Linked DNA regions of Lytechinus pictus. The protein of the gene in region 1 binds, or shares a complex with, the protein of each later gene. Links are inferred from orthologs where the notes say so. Each region holds a gene or a part of one and is shown on either strand. Other genes may lie near its edges.

Evidence for each region.
Region 2: eukaryotic translation initiation factor 3 subunit A-like (region 1) and eukaryotic translation initiation factor 3 subunit E-like share a complex: the UniProt entries of both Drosophila melanogaster proteins name them as parts of the eukaryotic translation initiation factor 3 (eIF-3) complex. The link is inferred for Lytechinus pictus from reciprocal best matches to the Drosophila melanogaster genes eIF3a and eIF3e.

The regions. Positions count from the first base shown.
Region 1 is NC_087256.1:10,922,735-10,931,616, reverse strand, and holds the start of eukaryotic translation initiation factor 3 subunit A-like, read left to right. Parts: upstream 1-4,776; 5' UTR 4,777-4,878; coding exon 4,879-4,968; intron 4,969-5,702; coding exon 5,703-5,842; intron 5,843-6,212; coding exon 6,213-6,376; intron 6,377-8,882. UniProt on the Drosophila melanogaster protein: RNA-binding component of the eukaryotic translation initiation factor 3 (eIF-3) complex, which is involved in protein synthesis of a specialized repertoire of mRNAs and, together with other initiation factors, stimulates binding of mRNA and methionyl-tRNAi to the 40S ribosome.
Region 2 is NC_087261.1:10,572,855-10,581,906, forward strand, and holds the start of eukaryotic translation initiation factor 3 subunit E-like, read left to right. Parts: upstream 1-5,326; 5' UTR 5,327-5,349; coding exon 5,350-5,439; intron 5,440-9,052. UniProt on the Drosophila melanogaster protein: Component of the eukaryotic translation initiation factor 3 (eIF-3) complex, which is involved in protein synthesis of a specialized repertoire of mRNAs and, together with other initiation factors, stimulates binding of mRNA and methionyl-tRNAi to the 40S ribosome.

The DNA.
Region 1 (8,882 bases):
ATACATTCTTGTGCTTATGCAGTAAGCTAGCTACAGCTGCCTCTTCAACTGGGTCTAGGCCTTTTATCTCTACGCCTGGAGGTAGGGTGTCTTCAATTACGGTATAAATTCGAACAGAACCAATGTGAACATCAGTTTCTTGCTCTTGGTTACGGGATTCTTTCTTCAACTTATCATACAGTGGCTTGTATTCTGCTATGTGTTGCAATATGTTGGAGCCAAGAAGGATTGGGTACCTCATATGTTCCACAGTAGGTGCTCGATCTGACACTACCAGAAAATTACCCATCAATTCTTCTCCTTTTACCTTGATTGGTAACCCAACATAACCAACAATAGGCAACTCTACCCCTCCAACTCCAATCACGTGCAGAAAGATTCCTTCGCTCTTCTGAAGCTCTCCAATACGACACTTCAGCTTGCTCTCATACAAGGACAAAGGTATGATAGATGCTTCGGCTCCTGTATCAACTACACAGCCAATCTCTACTCCTCCAATGAGAATGTTACAGCATGGACTTTTAGCAACAAATCTCTCAACAAGGTTTGATTTAGCTTTCTCTTTAGACTCTGCTGGTCCCACAGTCCCTAAATTGGCAGTTGGTACATAATGCGATGTAGGACTGGCACTAGTTTCAGACGTAGGATGATTGCTAACTGTGCTCTTCTTCGGACACTCTCTACCCATGTGACCAGTCTGATGACAGTTAAAACAGACCACTTCTTCTGTACAGTCTTTCTTTGTGTGTCCTTCTCTAAGACAGTTGTAACACTTGAGTTTCTTCTTGATCTTCTTAGGAGTTTGAGTATACTGAGTAAGAGCCTGAACACTCTTGGCAATCTGAGCTACTTCTCTTCTTAGATCTGCCAATTCAGCTTTGACATCCGACTGTTCCTGTTCTTTCTCTTGCTTGGGAAAACTAGAACACATGTCAGCACGCTCAGCATACACTTCATGAACTCGTGGTGAACTTCTTGGTTCTTGACCAGAGAAAAATTCAAGCACTTCAGATCTCATCTCAAGAAAGTTCTTACTCTTTGAAGACATTTCAATTCGTCTTAACTCTCGTTGTACCCACTTCTCTTTAGCTCCACAAACGAAACGTTCTTTCAGCGAGCTATCTTTGAGCCTCTTCAAAGCATTCTTATCTTCTGTACTGGAAGCAGCTTTCTCCATGCGATCGTACAACCTCATCAAGGCCCGGCTGTAGTCGGCCAAACTCTCGCCCTCTTGTTGTCGTCTATTGTAGAAGGATTGACTTAGTGAAGGTACCGACTCTGACGCTGCAAAGAGTGACTGTAAAACGTTGATAATTTGATCACTATCCTTTCGCACATCCTCATCTCGGCATAGAACCTCTTCTTTGGCAACTCCAGCCAAATGATCGACAAGCGACTGTGCTTTTGCCTCTCCAGACAACTGATAGTGAGTAGTATAACTGGAAAACTCTTCAAGCCACTCTTCCAGAGATAAGTCTCCAGCGACTTTAGGTGGACCCTTAAATTTAGACAATTTCACTGGTGGGGGAGCACGTTGAATATTCAAGCCTTGCAGTGCCCGGGTAAGGACTGACACCATTTCCTCTACAGACTGTGACATCGTTACAAGGGCTATATAATTCTACAAAGGGGAGAGAAGGTCTATGCACATGTATAAAGTGGTGTAAATCAATGAACAATCAAAAATTAACTCTACTCATAGTTATCTGAGATTACCTAAACCACCTTTAACTCATTACCAAATGTTCATGTGTTGACCATTCCCTCTCCGAAGTAAGAACGTTAAAGTCTCTTGGATGTGTAGAACTTCACTGCCATCATCCTAGTTGGTCGCTGACCTCTGGACGATAGACCTCAATCGCTGACTTTGGGGTTGATCGCTGACATCGGAACACAGCCATGATCTGATGATCCCATCCTCGTCGCCATTTTGTCGGGGGGTGGGTTGAGTTAGCCAATTAAGACCGTAACGGAGCAAACTTTACAGATGCTACGGGACACCAGATCTGAGCTTCTTTGACTTTATTGAGGTTTGCCAAAACCAACAAAATGAAAGGAGTAACAAAACAACAACCCCAAAATCAGAGGCTACTGGTGGTTACACACCACCTACATCACCCAGGATACCACAAAGGAGTAGCAGCTTCTACCATTATTCGAAATCTCAAGACTCGAGGAGGATCAAATGAGTCGGACCAGATCAGCCCTTTCCCAGGCCTGCTTCGATTGCAGTCCGACCTGCACCAGAACCAGGACGTGCAATAATCTACCTAACGTAAAATGCCAACAAGCAGTGGAGTCGCGGAACCACCCAAAAAAATATCATTCTGCTAAGGATTTGTTAAACTTTGAAACAGCCAATATGAAAAAGATACAAGTATATATATTGTTTTCACTCAATATTACGAGAAAACAAATCCTTAAAACCCTTAAAATACATAACAAGGATTAGAAAATAACTAGAATTATATTTTTGGAGCGTACATACATCGATCATCCTAACCCTATCCAGTGATCCGGCCGATCAAGAGAATTCCAAACACCTGTACGAAAATAATATGCAAATTAGGAACATTCTTCTCAAGCAACCAAATGAAAATTCCACTTTCCGACATAATTATGAGGGGAGCAATAAAAAGCTCTCCCTGTAGAACTTTTAAGGAGAGCGGTAGAGGAGCACTGCAAAAAGCTCTTCTTCAACATACAAGGGGAGCTTTTTGTCCAATTAACAAAACGGATGGAGGAAATATAGGCCTATGTACTAAGTTACAATTAACAACCAAAGGAAGGAAACAATCGAATATGCAATATTCATAATTGTTTTACAATGTTTTGTAATTAGATTGTGTGTTATAAAACCTGTTTGAGTGAGGTTTTGAGTGACTTTTGACTATGGCTAAAAGTTAAGTCACTGACAAATTTTTCGTCAAATTTCGGGGGCTACTTTTTGCATTTCGGGGGCTCTTTTTAAATGCAACTTTTTTGTATTTTGAGGAATACCTGTTCACTTATTAATGAATTATTACTTTTTGTTTAATATTGTATGATTTTTTAAGTTATTTTTTCATGATGCTTAGAATCTTGGATGTGGATGTGTGCGTGTGTGTGTGACTGTGAGTTGGACTTGGATATAAATGAATTCAATATTTAATTTCTACTCCGTCTATTCCAGTACAATACCCTGTACTCGGCCATGTACATGTAATATAGAGGCCCACATACCCTAACTTTTCCTGAAGTTCTTTGAAAATGCAGATCTCCATGAAAATTGCATTTCTCTATGGGGGAGTCTAAATTTGGTGAGAATGTATTCATTAAGATCTTAAATATACATGACAATTAAGAAATCAAACTTTATTGGCAGTTTTGAATAATGTACCTGAAATGTAAACTCTGTCTGAAACAGAAAATCACCATCATTGAGGCCTTTACTGAGCGAATTGTACCCCAGAGCTCTGGCAGAGAGACAGAGCTCCGACTGGCTAGTGTAGTAGTACATGCACCAATGCGTTCGTGCGTGAGCCTGCCGCCGGCCTTGTTAAAAATAGATAGAGCTTTGTTTGATGATTTATTGTCTGATATTTACCTCATCCCCTAGAAAAAGAAAACAAATGATTTTTTAGTTATAATTAATAAATAAGGTAACTTATTTTGGATGTTAATAGGCCGTTTTGAAAAGCAAAGCCGAATGACAACTCACCAATGCTAGGTTACTAGACTCTGGGATTTATTTCCTGTGTAATTCGAATTATTTTATCACAGAATTATCTGTAGGGGAAACATGTGCATTCGAAATTGCACATGGTGGTAGTCATAATGGACCCATATACAGGCAACTGTTTCCCGACCGTTGCGTAGATTTTTTTGGTCATACCTGGTTCCATGTGTATGGAAATACATGGTACAGAAAAAAAGACGCAACTTCAGAATTTTTTTATTTATTTTTTATTTTTTTCATTCTTCATAAAAACAAATACACTGTATAAAAGTCAATACATATAAGTAAAAAACAATGATGAACATATAGAAAAAATAACATAAGAGAACAAAGAAAACAATTTATGTCGAATTGAAACTGCGCTCGCTATTTTCAAGGCTTATTCATGATTTTGAGTGTGGATTTTGGATGATTTTTAAATGGTAAGCGGAGCTCGAGCATATGGCGCTAGTGGGCCGTTTAGTTGTTATCACTCGGCAATAATTTCGGGGGCGACATTCAGATTTGATGTCCCCGAAAGCATGATTTTAGGTGATTTTGAGGGCGACTTCAGGCATTTTCGCTTAGCGATCGCGAGGCGCGCTATTAATCGCGCTACCTAAAATGGATTAAGGCGCGCATGTAGCGCACGATCGCTCTCGCGCGCCTTAAAATTGAGTCCCTGAAAAAATAATATGTATGTCTGAAGAATACTATTACATGCCTTTATGAAATAATTTTTTTGAGTGTCTTTTTGAAAAAGTGACATTTACGTCACTTTATGTATTGAAGAAAATGCAGGTGTCAAATAACCTACCATAATTACATTTTTTAAAGTGGCAGATACAAAGTCAGCTCTGCTTTTTACAACTTAAAAAGATTCATAACTTTCTTACTGTTTTCAACTTTCACCCTTTTATTTTAAAATTCCCCATCAAATCAACTTTCCACTTTGGCTGGGACATAATTTGTGTAACTACTTTGGTTGCTTCATAATGAATGATAATGCTTTCATTTATCTAACAAAGAAATAATCTTTGTACTGATAAAGATGAGTACTGATTCTGTTTGTCAACTCAGAGTTCATTGATGTCGGCAAGAAGCAGCCAGCCTTGGATGCCCTCTATGATGTCATCAAGAGTAAGCGACATCGAACATGGCAGAAGATACACGAACCAATCATGGAGAAGTATCTGGAGCTCTGCGTTGACCTACGTAAGAGCCACATTGCCAAAGAGGGCCTCTACCAGTACAAGATCATTTGTCAACAGGTAGGCATACTTTTGTGGCAGAAATGCTTTGGGGGCTCCTGAATGTGTTGTAGATGTTCTTGACGGTTCCATGACATTTGCTCTGCTCTAAATTCCACGCACTAATCAAATGACCAACTTCAACCCTTGGTTTAACACTATACATGTGCCCTACCCTAAACCTCACATAAAACCCTATTGTAACCCTAACCCTACATCTTAGATGAAATTAAGCCTGGAACAATTGTCGCCAGACCAAATGTTGTGCCACCGCTCTTGACACCATTTTCACTGATTTTTCTTTGATAATAGAACGTCAAAACACCAATCTAAAGTTCGTAAATAAATATTCAAGTTTTGATTTTGGGTACTGCTAGTACATTGTAGAAATAAGAAAAACACTGATCAGCTATTGTTTATTAACTTTTGTTCACATTATGTGGCAAATTTGTGAACTAATCTGACACCAATTGCTCAAGCTGAAGTGAATGATAAGAAATTGTTTCTTTCTTAGATATTTCCTTTTTTTTTTTCATGTGTAATCAAGAAATTTCATAGGTGAGGGAGCATTTCATCAACCCTTGTTGTCCAATAAGTTGTCAGATCTGACGTCTTTCCTTGAATTTGATTAGCTGAGAAGCACTGTTACTATGGTTTTTGTCATTTAAAACAGGACTTATTGGATAAAATATATGACAAGTCCTCTTGTGAAATGCTCTGTTGATTTTAACTCCTTGTTATGTTCTTGCTGTTAGGTGAATGTCAAGTCTTTGGAAGATGTCGTGAGGAAATACTTGAAGCTTGCTGAAGTCAAGACGGAGGAGGCTAGGAAGGCTTCTGAGGCTGTTGTTGGGGTCGATGTTGACGATCTTGATAATCTTACCACCCCAGAAAGGTAAGAAGAGAATTTTTAAAGAATTGTTGTTTCTTACCTTCAGTGTTGGGAAAAGTTTAACTGTTGAAGTTCAGGATTTGACAGTTGACCCATAGCATAAATAATTTATTCAATTCCAAATAAAGCATAAGTCTCGAGATCAGAATCACTTCCTTTGATTAAACACAAAGGTGTAGTTCATTTGCATTTAATTCCAACTTTATATGATAAGCATGCCCGATTTGACTTGATTTTGGGACTAACGCTCGATTTGCAGTTGAATGTAAGATCCTTGCAATGCTCCATTAGTAAGTGTCAACTGATGTTATAGGCATCCCACCAGTGGGTCCTATTATTGACTTGTTCTCCCACTGTTTTTGTCTTCCTGCAGTCTTCTCCTAAGTGCTGTAAGTGGAGAGGATGCCCAGGCCAGGAGTGACCGTGTGGTGTTGATACCATGGGTCAAGTTTCTCTGGGAGTCTTACAGACAGTGCTTGGACCTGCTGAGGAACAACAACAGACTGGAGAAGCTCTACCAGGACGTGGCCCAGGATGGTAGGTCCAGGATCAGGGTCAGAGATGGCACCATGATTCCAAAAATGTGGAATGCTACAGTCACACCAATGAAACCGACTCCAGACCGTTAAAAGCTGTTTTGAATTGCACGTCATGACGCCAGACCGTTAAAAGCTGTTTTGAATTGCACGTCATGACGCCAGACCGTTAAAAGCTGTTTTGAATTGCACGTCATGACGCCAGACCGTTAAAAGCTGTTTTGAATTGCACGTCATGACGCCAGACCGTTAAAAGCTGTTTTGAATTGCACGTCATGACGCCAGACCGTTAAAAGCTGTTTTGAATTGCACGTCATGACTCCAGACCGTTCAAAGCTGTTTTGAATTGCACGTCATGACGCCAGACCGTTAAAAGCTGTTTTGAATTGCACGTCATGACGCCAGACCGTTAAAAGCTGTTTTGAATTGCACGTCATGACGCCAGACCGTTAAAAGCTGTTTTGAATTGCACGTCATGACGCCAGACCGTTAAAAGCTGTTTTGAATTGCACGTCATGACGCCAGACCGTTAAAAGCTGTTTTGAATTGCACGTCATGACGCCAGACCGTTAAAAGCTGTTTTGAATTGCACGTCATGACGCCAGACCGTTAAAAGCTGTTTTGAATTGCACGTCATGACGCCAGACCGTTAAAAGCTGTTTTGAATTGCACGTCATGACGCCAGACCGTTAAAAGCTGTTTTGAATTGCACGTCATGACGCCAGACCGTTAAAAGCTGTTTTGAATTGCACGTCATGACGCCAGACCGTTAAAAGCTGTTTTGAATTGCACGTCATGACGCCAGACCGTTCAAAGCTGTTTTGAATTGCACGTCATGACGCCAGACCGTTAAAAGCTGTTTTGAATTGCACGTCATGACGCCAGACCGTTCAAAGCTGTTTTGAATTGCACGTCATGACGCCAGACCGTTAAAAGCTGTTTTGAATTGCACGTCATGACGCCAGACCGTTAAAAGCTGTTTTGAATTGCACGTCATGACGCCAGACCGTTAAAAGCTGTTTTGAATTGCACGTCATGACGCCAGACCGTTAAAAGCTGTTTTGAATTGCACGTCATGACGCCAGACCGTTAAAAGCTGTTTTGAATTGCACGTCATGACGCCAGACCGTTAAAAGCTGTTTTGAATTGCACGTCATGACGCCAGACCGTTAAAAGCTGTTTTGAATTGCACGTCATGACGCCAGACCGTTAAAAGCTGTTTTGAATTGCACGTCATGACGCCAGACCGTTAAAAGCTGTTTTGAATTGCACGTCATGACGCCAGACCGTTAAAAGCTGTTTTGAATTGCACGTCATGACGCCAGACCGTTCAAAGCTGTTTTGAATTGCATGTCATGACGCCAGACCGTTAAAAGCTGTTTTGAATTGCACGTCATGACGCCAGACCGTTAAAAGCTGTTTTGAATTGCACGTCATGACGCCAGACCGTTAAAAGCTGTTTTGAATTGCACGTCATGACGCCAGACCGTTAAAAGCTGTTTTGAATTGCACGTCATGACGCCAGACCGTTAAAAGCTGTTTTGAATTGCACGTCATGACGCCAGACCGTTCAAAGCTGTTTTGAATTGCATGTCATGACGCCAGACCGTTAAAAGCTGTTTTGAATTGCACGTCATGACGCCAGACCGTTAAAAGCTGTTTTGAATTGCACGTCATGACGCCAGACCGTTAAAAGCTGTTTTGAATTGCACGTCATGACGCCAGACCGTTAAAAGCTGTTTTGAATTGCACGTCATGACGCCAGACCGTTAAAAGCTGTTTTGAATTGCATGTCATGACGCCAGACCGTTAAAAGCTGTTTTGAATTGCACGTCATGACGCCAGACCGTTAAAAGCTGTTTTGAATTGCACGTCATGACGCCAGACCGTTAAAAGCTGTTTTGAATTGCATGTCATGACGCCAGACCGTTAAAAGCTGTTTTGAATTGCACGTCATGACGCCAGACCGTTAAAAGCTGTTTTGAATTGCACGTCATGACGCCAGACCGTTAAAAGCTGTTTTGAATTGCATGTCATGACGCCAGACCGTTAAAAGCTGTTTTGAATTGCACGTCATGACGCCAGACCGTTGAAAGCTGTTTTGAATTGCACGTCATGACGCCAGACCGTTAAAAGCTGTTTTGAATTGCACGTCATGACGCCAGACAGTTAAAAGCTGTTTTGAATTGCATGTCATGACGCCAGACCGTTAAAAGCTGTTTTGAATTGCACGTCATGACGCCAGACCGTTAAAAGCTGTTTTGAATTGCACGTCATGACGCCAGAACGTTAAAAGCTGTTTTGAATTGCACGTCATGACGCCAGACCGTTAAAAGCTGTTTTGAATTGCACGTCATGACGCCAGACCGTTAAAAGCTGTTTTGAATTGCACGTCATGACGCCAGACCGTTAAAAGCTGTTTTGAATTGCACGTCATGACGCCAGACCGTTAAAAGCTGTTTTGAATTGCACGTCATGACGCCAGACCGTTAAAAGCTGTTTTGAAT
Region 2 (9,052 bases), on another chromosome or scaffold:
TGTTGGCGTTATTCATATGCAGTATGAAAAATTTCAATTTTCTCCTGATCGTGTTTTTTATTATTTTCTTCTTGAATATATGAAATTGCCTTGTTGATTTCATGAAAAATTCCCTCTCATTAAATCTGCTGAAAAATGTATTATTGTATCAAATGCAAAAAGAATCGTGAATGAATGACATCACCAACTTGCTCATTTGCCAGTATCCCTTTGTTGTGCATATAACTGTTTTTGTACAAAAAAATAAGCGACATTTAGAAATATAACCTTCTTATCCTACATTCGATTTTCAGTGTTCTACATAACACTTGTTTATTAAATCTTTCATTCAAATCAACTTTTTGTTGGGTAAGGGGCGCAAATACAGAAAAAGAAAACAAAAAATGAACAGAAATTGTCAACTTTTTTTGTATAGAGAAAAGTAAAAGTTAAAGGTTAAGTCCAGCTCAGGAAAATGTTGATTTGAATCAATAGAGAAAAATCAGAAATGCATATTGCTGAAAACTTCATCAAAATCGGATGTAAAATAAAAAAGTTATGACATTTTAAAGTTTCGCTTATTTTTCACAAAATAGATCTATGCACAATTAAGTCACATATTGCAAATGAGAAAATCGATGATGTCCGTCACTCACTATTTCTTTTGTTTTTTATTGTTTGAATAGTGCAATATTTCAATTTTTACAGATTTGACAATAAGGACCAACTTGCATGACTGAACCATAAAATTTTAAACAATGGTAATTCCACATGTTCATGGAGAAATAAAATTCTGTTTCACCGGACAATGAGGAGAAAATTAGAATATTTTATATTTCATATAACAAAATACAAAAGAAATAGCGAGTGAGTGATGTCATCACTGAGTTCCCTCATTTGCATACGATGACATGCATACGAACCAGAGGATGTGCATATATAACTGTTTTGTGAAATTAAGTGAAACTTAAAAATGTCATAACTTTCTTATTTTACATCCGATTTTGATGAAATGTTCAGTGTTATGCTTTTTGGATTTTTCTCTTTTTATTCAAATCAACTTTTTGTTGGGGTGCATGGACTTGTCCTGTACGGAATAAAGTCGCCGAAAAGGAAGACCACTGATTAAGGTGATATATACGCCCGTCCTATTACAATGGTAATGCAGTTTCGAACCCATGTGGACCGTATCCGTGCCAATTTTCGATTAGTGATATACTTATTCTTTCCAAGAATTCCAACAAACAGTCCTTAAAATATTTATTTTTTCAAACGCATACCATATGCATGCTTTTTCATCTATATAGCTACGCGGGTTTTGATAATTATGCTACTCTTTATTAATTCTTACAAACAGTTCTAAAAATCCTATTTTTTTCTTGTTTAATCAACAAAGACTTATAATCACGATTTTATTTGATAAGGTATAGATACAAAACTCTCTTCATTAATTTTTACAAACAATCGTCTCTTTTTAGGAGAGGATATACCAACAAAATCAGCTCGCGCTTCGCGCACGCATTACGCCGATGAGATACGTATAGGAAGTTAATGAATTCATAAAATACTCTTTAAAATTGTACCCTTTCAAGTAAGTATCAGCTCATTGCTCGTGCCTGCATTGATTGCTTAGTTATAGATCCGCATCGTGGGACTTACTTCTCCCTAAAATGTCCCGATTTCAGGTCTGAATGATTTTCGGCTCGCGCTTCGAGCTCGCATTAATTTTTTAGAATTAATATTCAGTCTTAAGATCTTAATGTTGAATAAAAAAACAGGTTCGCGCTTCGCCCTCGTATTAGATCGATTTATTTAATGAGATCCCTGCATCAGTGATTCCCTGTAATAATTTAGTATGATAAATGTTCCTTTTTCAGGTCAAAAGATCAATGATTTTCAGCTCGCGCTTCGCGCTCGTATTCATTGTTCAGGTATAGTTAGATACCAATCACAGTTATGATTACAAAAAAACAACAAAGAATATTCCGTATTAACGTCTATTGAAAAATGTTTCCACTCGTATCAATGCGAGGGTCTCCGCGACGGGAAAATGGGAATTTCTATGGTTTTCTGAATTGCTGATGCTCTGGACCGGAAATTTAGGCTGGGGGTCTCAACCACGGCACATATACATGTACGTATCATTCATTTATACTGAGTATATTAGGAAGTTGGTGAAAGTAATTCCCCCCCATTGGCGAATGATCCCCGTATGGAGCTTGCATAATAAATAAAATTATCAAATTAAAAGATATTTTTATTTACAATAATAACTATTAGTTAATAATAATAATAATGATGATAATAAACAATAATAATAATAAAAATAATAATAATGATAATAATAAATCATAATAACATTTAGGGCGCTTTATAGGGCGCTTAATTTGTCTCAAAGTTCACAAGTGGGTGTGCTGACTAATGATAAATATAATCCATTAGAAAAAACTCTATATTTAATTAATTAACCAAACCAAATTTATCGGTGAATTATCGGATGGTCTAATACCACATCATCTACTTATCAGTTCGTCCAACTTCACATAGTCTAAACTCATTTCGTCTACAACCAGTTTGTCTAATATCCAATTCGTCTAATTCCCACTTGGTCTAATATCCTATTCGTCTAATTTCCATTTTGGCTAATAACCAGTTGGGCTAATTTCCACTTGGTCTAATATCCAATTCCTCTAATTCCCACTTGGTCTAATATCCAATTGGTCTAATGAGCAGTTGGGCTAAAATCATTTAGTCTAATTTCCAGTTAGTCTAACACCACTTGGTCTAATTTCCACTTTGGCTAATTTCCACTTGGTCTAATTATCATTTTGTCTAATTGCCACATGGTCTAATGACCGTTTGGTCTAATTTCCACTTGGTCTAATTTCCATTTAGTCTAATTTCCACTTGGTCTAATATCCAATTGGTCTAATGACCACTTGGTCTAATAGCCAAATGGTCTAAAGACCACTTGGTCTAATGACCAGTTCGGCTAATCGTCACTTGGTCTAATTTTCATTTGGTCTAATTCACACTTGGTCTAATGTCTATTTATTCTAATATAGCATCATTCATTATTATTTATTTATCTAGAATTAGCAAATATGGTACGTAATGGATAAATACAATGCATCAGTTAATACATATCGCCAGGATCTGGAGGGGTAGAGCTGGTGGGCGCAAAACCTCACCGTGAAGGACTATCGATGACAAGATAGTCGCTCATCAAACTAATTATTCTAATAAAATAATTCTCATAATTAGGCCTGTATATCGATTATAAGATGATGATAAAAATTATATCATACTCATAATCATTACATCACCGCATGCACATTTACAGAACAATAAGTTGGGGACCTTGTAGCTTATAATGGTCGAATGGCGGGGTTTCATCAGAATAAAATTATTATGAAGAAAGGAACGAAAATATAATGTAATTGATTGTGTGGATACGTATCTGGTAAACATATATATGCCTCTTTTAAATCATTGTTATGCACCATTACGGACGATACTTGAACTTGATGTCCTAGTTATGCAGTTTGGGGGAACCAAAACTTACAAAGTCATTAGATCATGTAATTTTGTTATGAACATTTGTTTAGTTATTTCAATATTTAGTTTGGAGGCAAATAACAGACAAGTTAGATATAGTTTGATAACACTATACAGGTATATTGGGTTAGCTGCGACAACATAACTGCGACCATCTTGGTAGCAGCCACATAATTCTGACGTGTAATAACATAGTATACATGTAGTCTACGCTTGCAGACCTTTATCAGTTATCACCACAACAGTCATTCATCTTATATATCTTCTCATTCTGTTTTTTGTTCTACTTCTTCGCCTCTTCCTTAAATGGATTGGCAAGGTTCCCACCCCATTAGGGAAATCAGGGATTTTTAAAACGTTTTTCCAGTCAGGGATTGCCTCAAATCCGGGAAAAATGTCTCAAATGAGGGCAAAATCAGGGAATTTTGATCGGCCCAAAAGTCGAAAGCATGACAGTCTGTTATATTTTGTTGTATTTTAAAACAACATTCATTGAATGACATGATATGGTGTTGGTTTTTTTTTTAGTGTAGCCTCTTCTACTACAATACAAGTATAGGCCTACTGGTACATTATACATGCATAACTAAAATAAAAATAATACATGTAATTCACTGCAACAACTTCGAAAACATGTGAAACTGGGAATGGGTTTAAATAATTATCAAGGAATTTTTTAACTTCATCAGAGATATCAGGGATTTTTGTTTTCTTGAAAAGTTGGGAACCATGATTGGGTTAAGCCATCGTTTCTATCTACAGTAGATCGTATACATAGAGGTGAATAAATAAAAATAATATTTTTTCACCTCTATATTAGCGTTATTTTACAGAAAAATAGCAAATTTGATTGTTTTTCACCAAAACCTTCAAAAATCCCCTGAAACAGACAAAAAATCCCCAAAGTTTGTATAATCCCCAAATAATTTTTTTCATCCCCACAGGCTTTCGAAAATCCCCATATTTTCAAAATTCAGTTGGAGACGAAATATACGTCACTCTAACTGTACTCCAATATCGAGGGGCGCACATGTGAAGATTCGAAGCCGGCGCGCGGAAAGTAACTTTAAAAATTTCACCAGAAAATTGAAAACAAGTCACCATGCAGACTTTACGAATTAGACCAAATGGCATGTAGACGAAATGAATGTTAGACTATCTGGAAATTAGACCAAGTGGAAATTAGCCGAAGTGGAAATTAGACCAAGTGGAAATTAGCCGAAATGGAAATTAGACCAACTAAACATTAGACCAACTGCACATTAGACCAAATGAATAATGGACCAAGTGAGGATTAGACCAACTGGTATTAGACCAACTAGTATTAGACTAACCGACTATTAGACGAACTGGTATTAGACCAAATGCAATTAGACCAAGTGACAATAAAATACATTAGACCAAATGAAAATTAGACCAAGTGGCTATTAGACCAAGTGGTCATTAGACCAATTGGCTATTAGACCAAGTGGTCACTCATTAGACCAAAAGAGAATTGGACTAAGTGGGTTTAGCCCGAATGTTGTTAGCCCATCTGATGATTAGACCAAGTGATAATAGACCATCCGTCAGTAAAATCTCAGGTTGAAGCCGGGGCTGAAATCCTCTTTAAAAATTATATTTCCCTTTTTTATTCGTTCTTGTGAAGGTAAATATTTATGCCGTTTTCTTCCTTCTTTTTAATCGCACGCTATTAGTCGCCAGTAGCCAGCGCGCAGCTTGTATCGTCTATGTCCGGCGGAGCCGGAGATCTTTGATTGAACGCGCGGGCGCGGCGCTGCGCGCGCACATCCATTGAAGGAATCTGTCAAGATGGCGGAATTCGACCTGACTTCGAAAATCGGACAATATTTGGATAGACATCTTGTTTTTCCGTTGTTAGAGTTTTTGTCAGTACAAGAAGTGAGTATTATGTACAAAGATGGTGTCTCAAACTTATACGGATTGTATAATCGTTGTAATTATCATGAATTTCGTGCCATCTGGTCGCAACTGTGTGCCCCCATGTGGGATTCGACAGTCCGACGTGTTCACTTTTGCGTAGGCAATGGTAGGCCCTGGCTTAGCCTTAGGCTAGATGATATGATAAATCATGATCTCAATTTGAATAGTAACTGCCCAAGATTCAACATGACATGTTAAGCTATTCTGCATGATATTTTTAATCTAAAAAATCTTTTCACAAAATGAAAGAGATCCTTATGTATGACTGTGTATGTTTGTTGAGCATGCAGTGTTTTGAAATGGAGACGAGTCTAGAGAGTAGATAGAGATAAGGTGTCTGAAGTGAAGAGTGAAGACTGAAGGCAGTGAAGCCACACTGAAATGTGTCAGCACAAAACAGGCTAATTTAGGGGAAAATATGGCACATTTTTTCGGGGAAGTTTAGGCTACTAGTACTATAGGCCGGTCAAATTGAAATCCTAAAATTTTTATTTGAACGTCTTCACATTTTTATTTACAATGACATGAAAGAGAAAACAAAATCAAAGCAAACATACCAACTCCCAGTTCCAAAGGTTTCCAAAAAGTGAAGATATTAAGTGTCAAACTATGGCCTTTGTGAGACCAGAAAGGGACAGAGATAACCGATTCAGCCCCCTAACTTCCCCGAAGCTAGTTGTCACGTAAAATGGTCGATGAATAGCTAGTTTCGAACGACCTCCTTAAATTAATATTCAATTTTAAATTTGCCGCTGCAGCCCGGCTCGTAGTCTGTGGTAGCTTGTGCACGAGACGTTATTTACGAAAAATGCATTCTAAAAAGTAAAACTCTCGGCAAAATCGTGATATAGGCCCCGCTCGAGAAAAACTTGTAATCGATTATACTACCTCAATATCTAGGTTGCTAACTTCAGCTCACTATATATACTCGTGATATAGGCCCCGCTGCTGTGTTGAATGGCTTAGAATGTCCGTTTGCGGGGCCTGTTTCACGAGTATAGTACTATAACCGTTATATAGGCCCCGCACTACGGCACTTCAGACACTCCAACACAGTAGCGGGGCCTATATCACGAGTATATATTAAGCTTGCATCCTAAGATAGTCGCGAAACTGGCCCCGTCCAATGCGCTTTTCCCAGCATTCGCACGTGTGTGGGGCTCGGATGACGACTATAGTAGTATACTCGTTATCGAGGCCCCTTACACTGTTATATAATGGAAAATAACGTGGTCGTGGGGCTTGTTTCCCCGGCCGGTGAGAATTATCATGGGCGGCGCTGTAGGGGGAGCCTCCAATTTATTTTCCAAATATACAAGGAAAGAATATCATGAGCGGCGCTGTAAGGGGCGGGGGGCTCCTTATTTTCCAAATAAACAATTAAGGAGAGAATGATTTAATACTTCTTCAGAAATTTATTTGTGGATTTATTTGTATTTATTCATTAATCATTTGATTTATTTGTTTTCATTTTTTTTTTCTTTTGTGATGTAGAGAGTCAGAGGTATCATTCGTTTTTAATTATTTTTATGTGTAAAATTTCATTTATTTATTTCTCAATCTATTAATTAATGTATTTATATTTATTCATTAATCATTTAAGTCATTTGTTTTCTTTCTTTTTTTTGTTATAGAGAGAGTCAGAGTTATTCGTTTTTAATTCTTTTTATTTGTGGAAGCTCATTTAATTTATTTATCAATCTATTTTAATTGATTAATTAATGTATTTATATTGATTAATAAATCTATTTATAGTTATTCATTAATCATTTAATTTATTTGTTTTCAGTTTTTTTTCTTTTGTGACTGGTAGAGAGTCAGAGTATCATTCGTTTTTAATTATTTTCATGTGTGAAATTTCGTTTATTTATTTATCAATCTATTATTTTGATTGATTAATATGTATTTATATTGATAAATAAATGTTGATATTGATAAATATATTGATTAATAAATGTAAAAATGTATAAATGTATTACCCAACAAGGCAACGACAATATTATCATCTCCCATTAACAAGAACTTTATTTGCAAAGAATTCATTTGTCTTTTCCGGGCCCGCCTACTGGAACTCTCTGCCTCAAGATTTTAAAGAATCCCCTAATATAAATATTTTTAAACGCAAACTGAAAAAAATGTTAATTTTGCAATACTCGTTGCAAGCAGATCATGCTGAATAACTGATTTATTTATACTCGGTTTTTGTGTCTATCGTGTATTATATGCGCTCGTATACACTCGTATATACATGTATATTATTTGTTATTACTTTTTTCTTCTTAAAATTGCAACTAGCCAAAGTACCTGCTCCTGTTGCCCGATTTCTTTCTATGTTATGTACACTGCATTTCTCTGTCCCTCCCCTCTTCTCCCCCTCACATTCCCCCTCTCTCCCTAATGCTATAAAACAAAATATTTCTCACATCAGTTTTTTTTCTCGTAAAATGCACCAAAATTGTTTGTATTTATTTTTAAAGTTCTATATATCATTACGACCCAGTGTTTTTTTTTGTAATGAAACTAAGTTTATTTAGGGGCTTGCCTTTTGTACAAGCTTTGCTTTTTTTTGGCAAGACCCTCCGTTTTTACTTTAAAATACAATTGTCATATTAGGTAATTTTATTCATTGAATTGTGCTCCTTAAATCTAAGATTATGTTATATATATTTTATTACGTCTTGCAGTATTTTCCACCTTGTTTTGTTATATTTATCATGCTTATGTTGTGAAACGGAAATCAATAAATCAAATCAAATCAATATTTATATTGATAAATAAATGTATTTATATTGATAAATAAATGTATTTATATTTATTCATTAATCATTTAATTCATTTGTTTTCAGTTTTTTTCTTTTGTGATATAGAGAGTCAGATCGAGTTATCATTCGTTTTTGTCTCACCTGCATAGCAGAGTGAGACTATAGGCGCCGCTTTTCCGACGGCGACGGCGGCGGCGGCGGCGACGGCGGCGGCGGCGTCAACACCAAATCTTAACCTGAGGTTAAGTTTTTGAAATGACAGCATAACTTAGAAAGTATATGGACCTAGTTCATGAAACTTGGCCATAAGGTTAATCAAGTATTACTGAACATCCTGCCTGAGTTTCATGTCACATGACCAAGGTCAAAGGTCATTTAGGGTCAATGAACTTAGACCATGTTGGGGGAATCAACATCAAAATCTTAACCTAAGGTTAAGTTTTTGAAATGTCATCATAACTTAGAAAATATATAGACCTAGTTCATGAAACTTATACATAAGGTTAATCAAGTATCAATGAACATCCTGCTTGAGTTTCACATCACATGACCAAGGTCAAAGGTCATTTAGGGTCAATGAACTTTGGCCGAATTGGGGGTATCTGTTGAATTACCATCATAACTTTGAAAGTTTATGGATCTGATTCATGAAACTTGGACATAATAGTAATCAAGTATTACTGAACATCCTGTGCAAGTTTCAGGTCACATGATCAAGGTCAAATGTCATTTAGGGTCAATGAACTTTGGCCAAATTGGGGTATTTGTTGAATTACAGCCATAAATTTGAAAGTGTGTTGGTCTAGTTC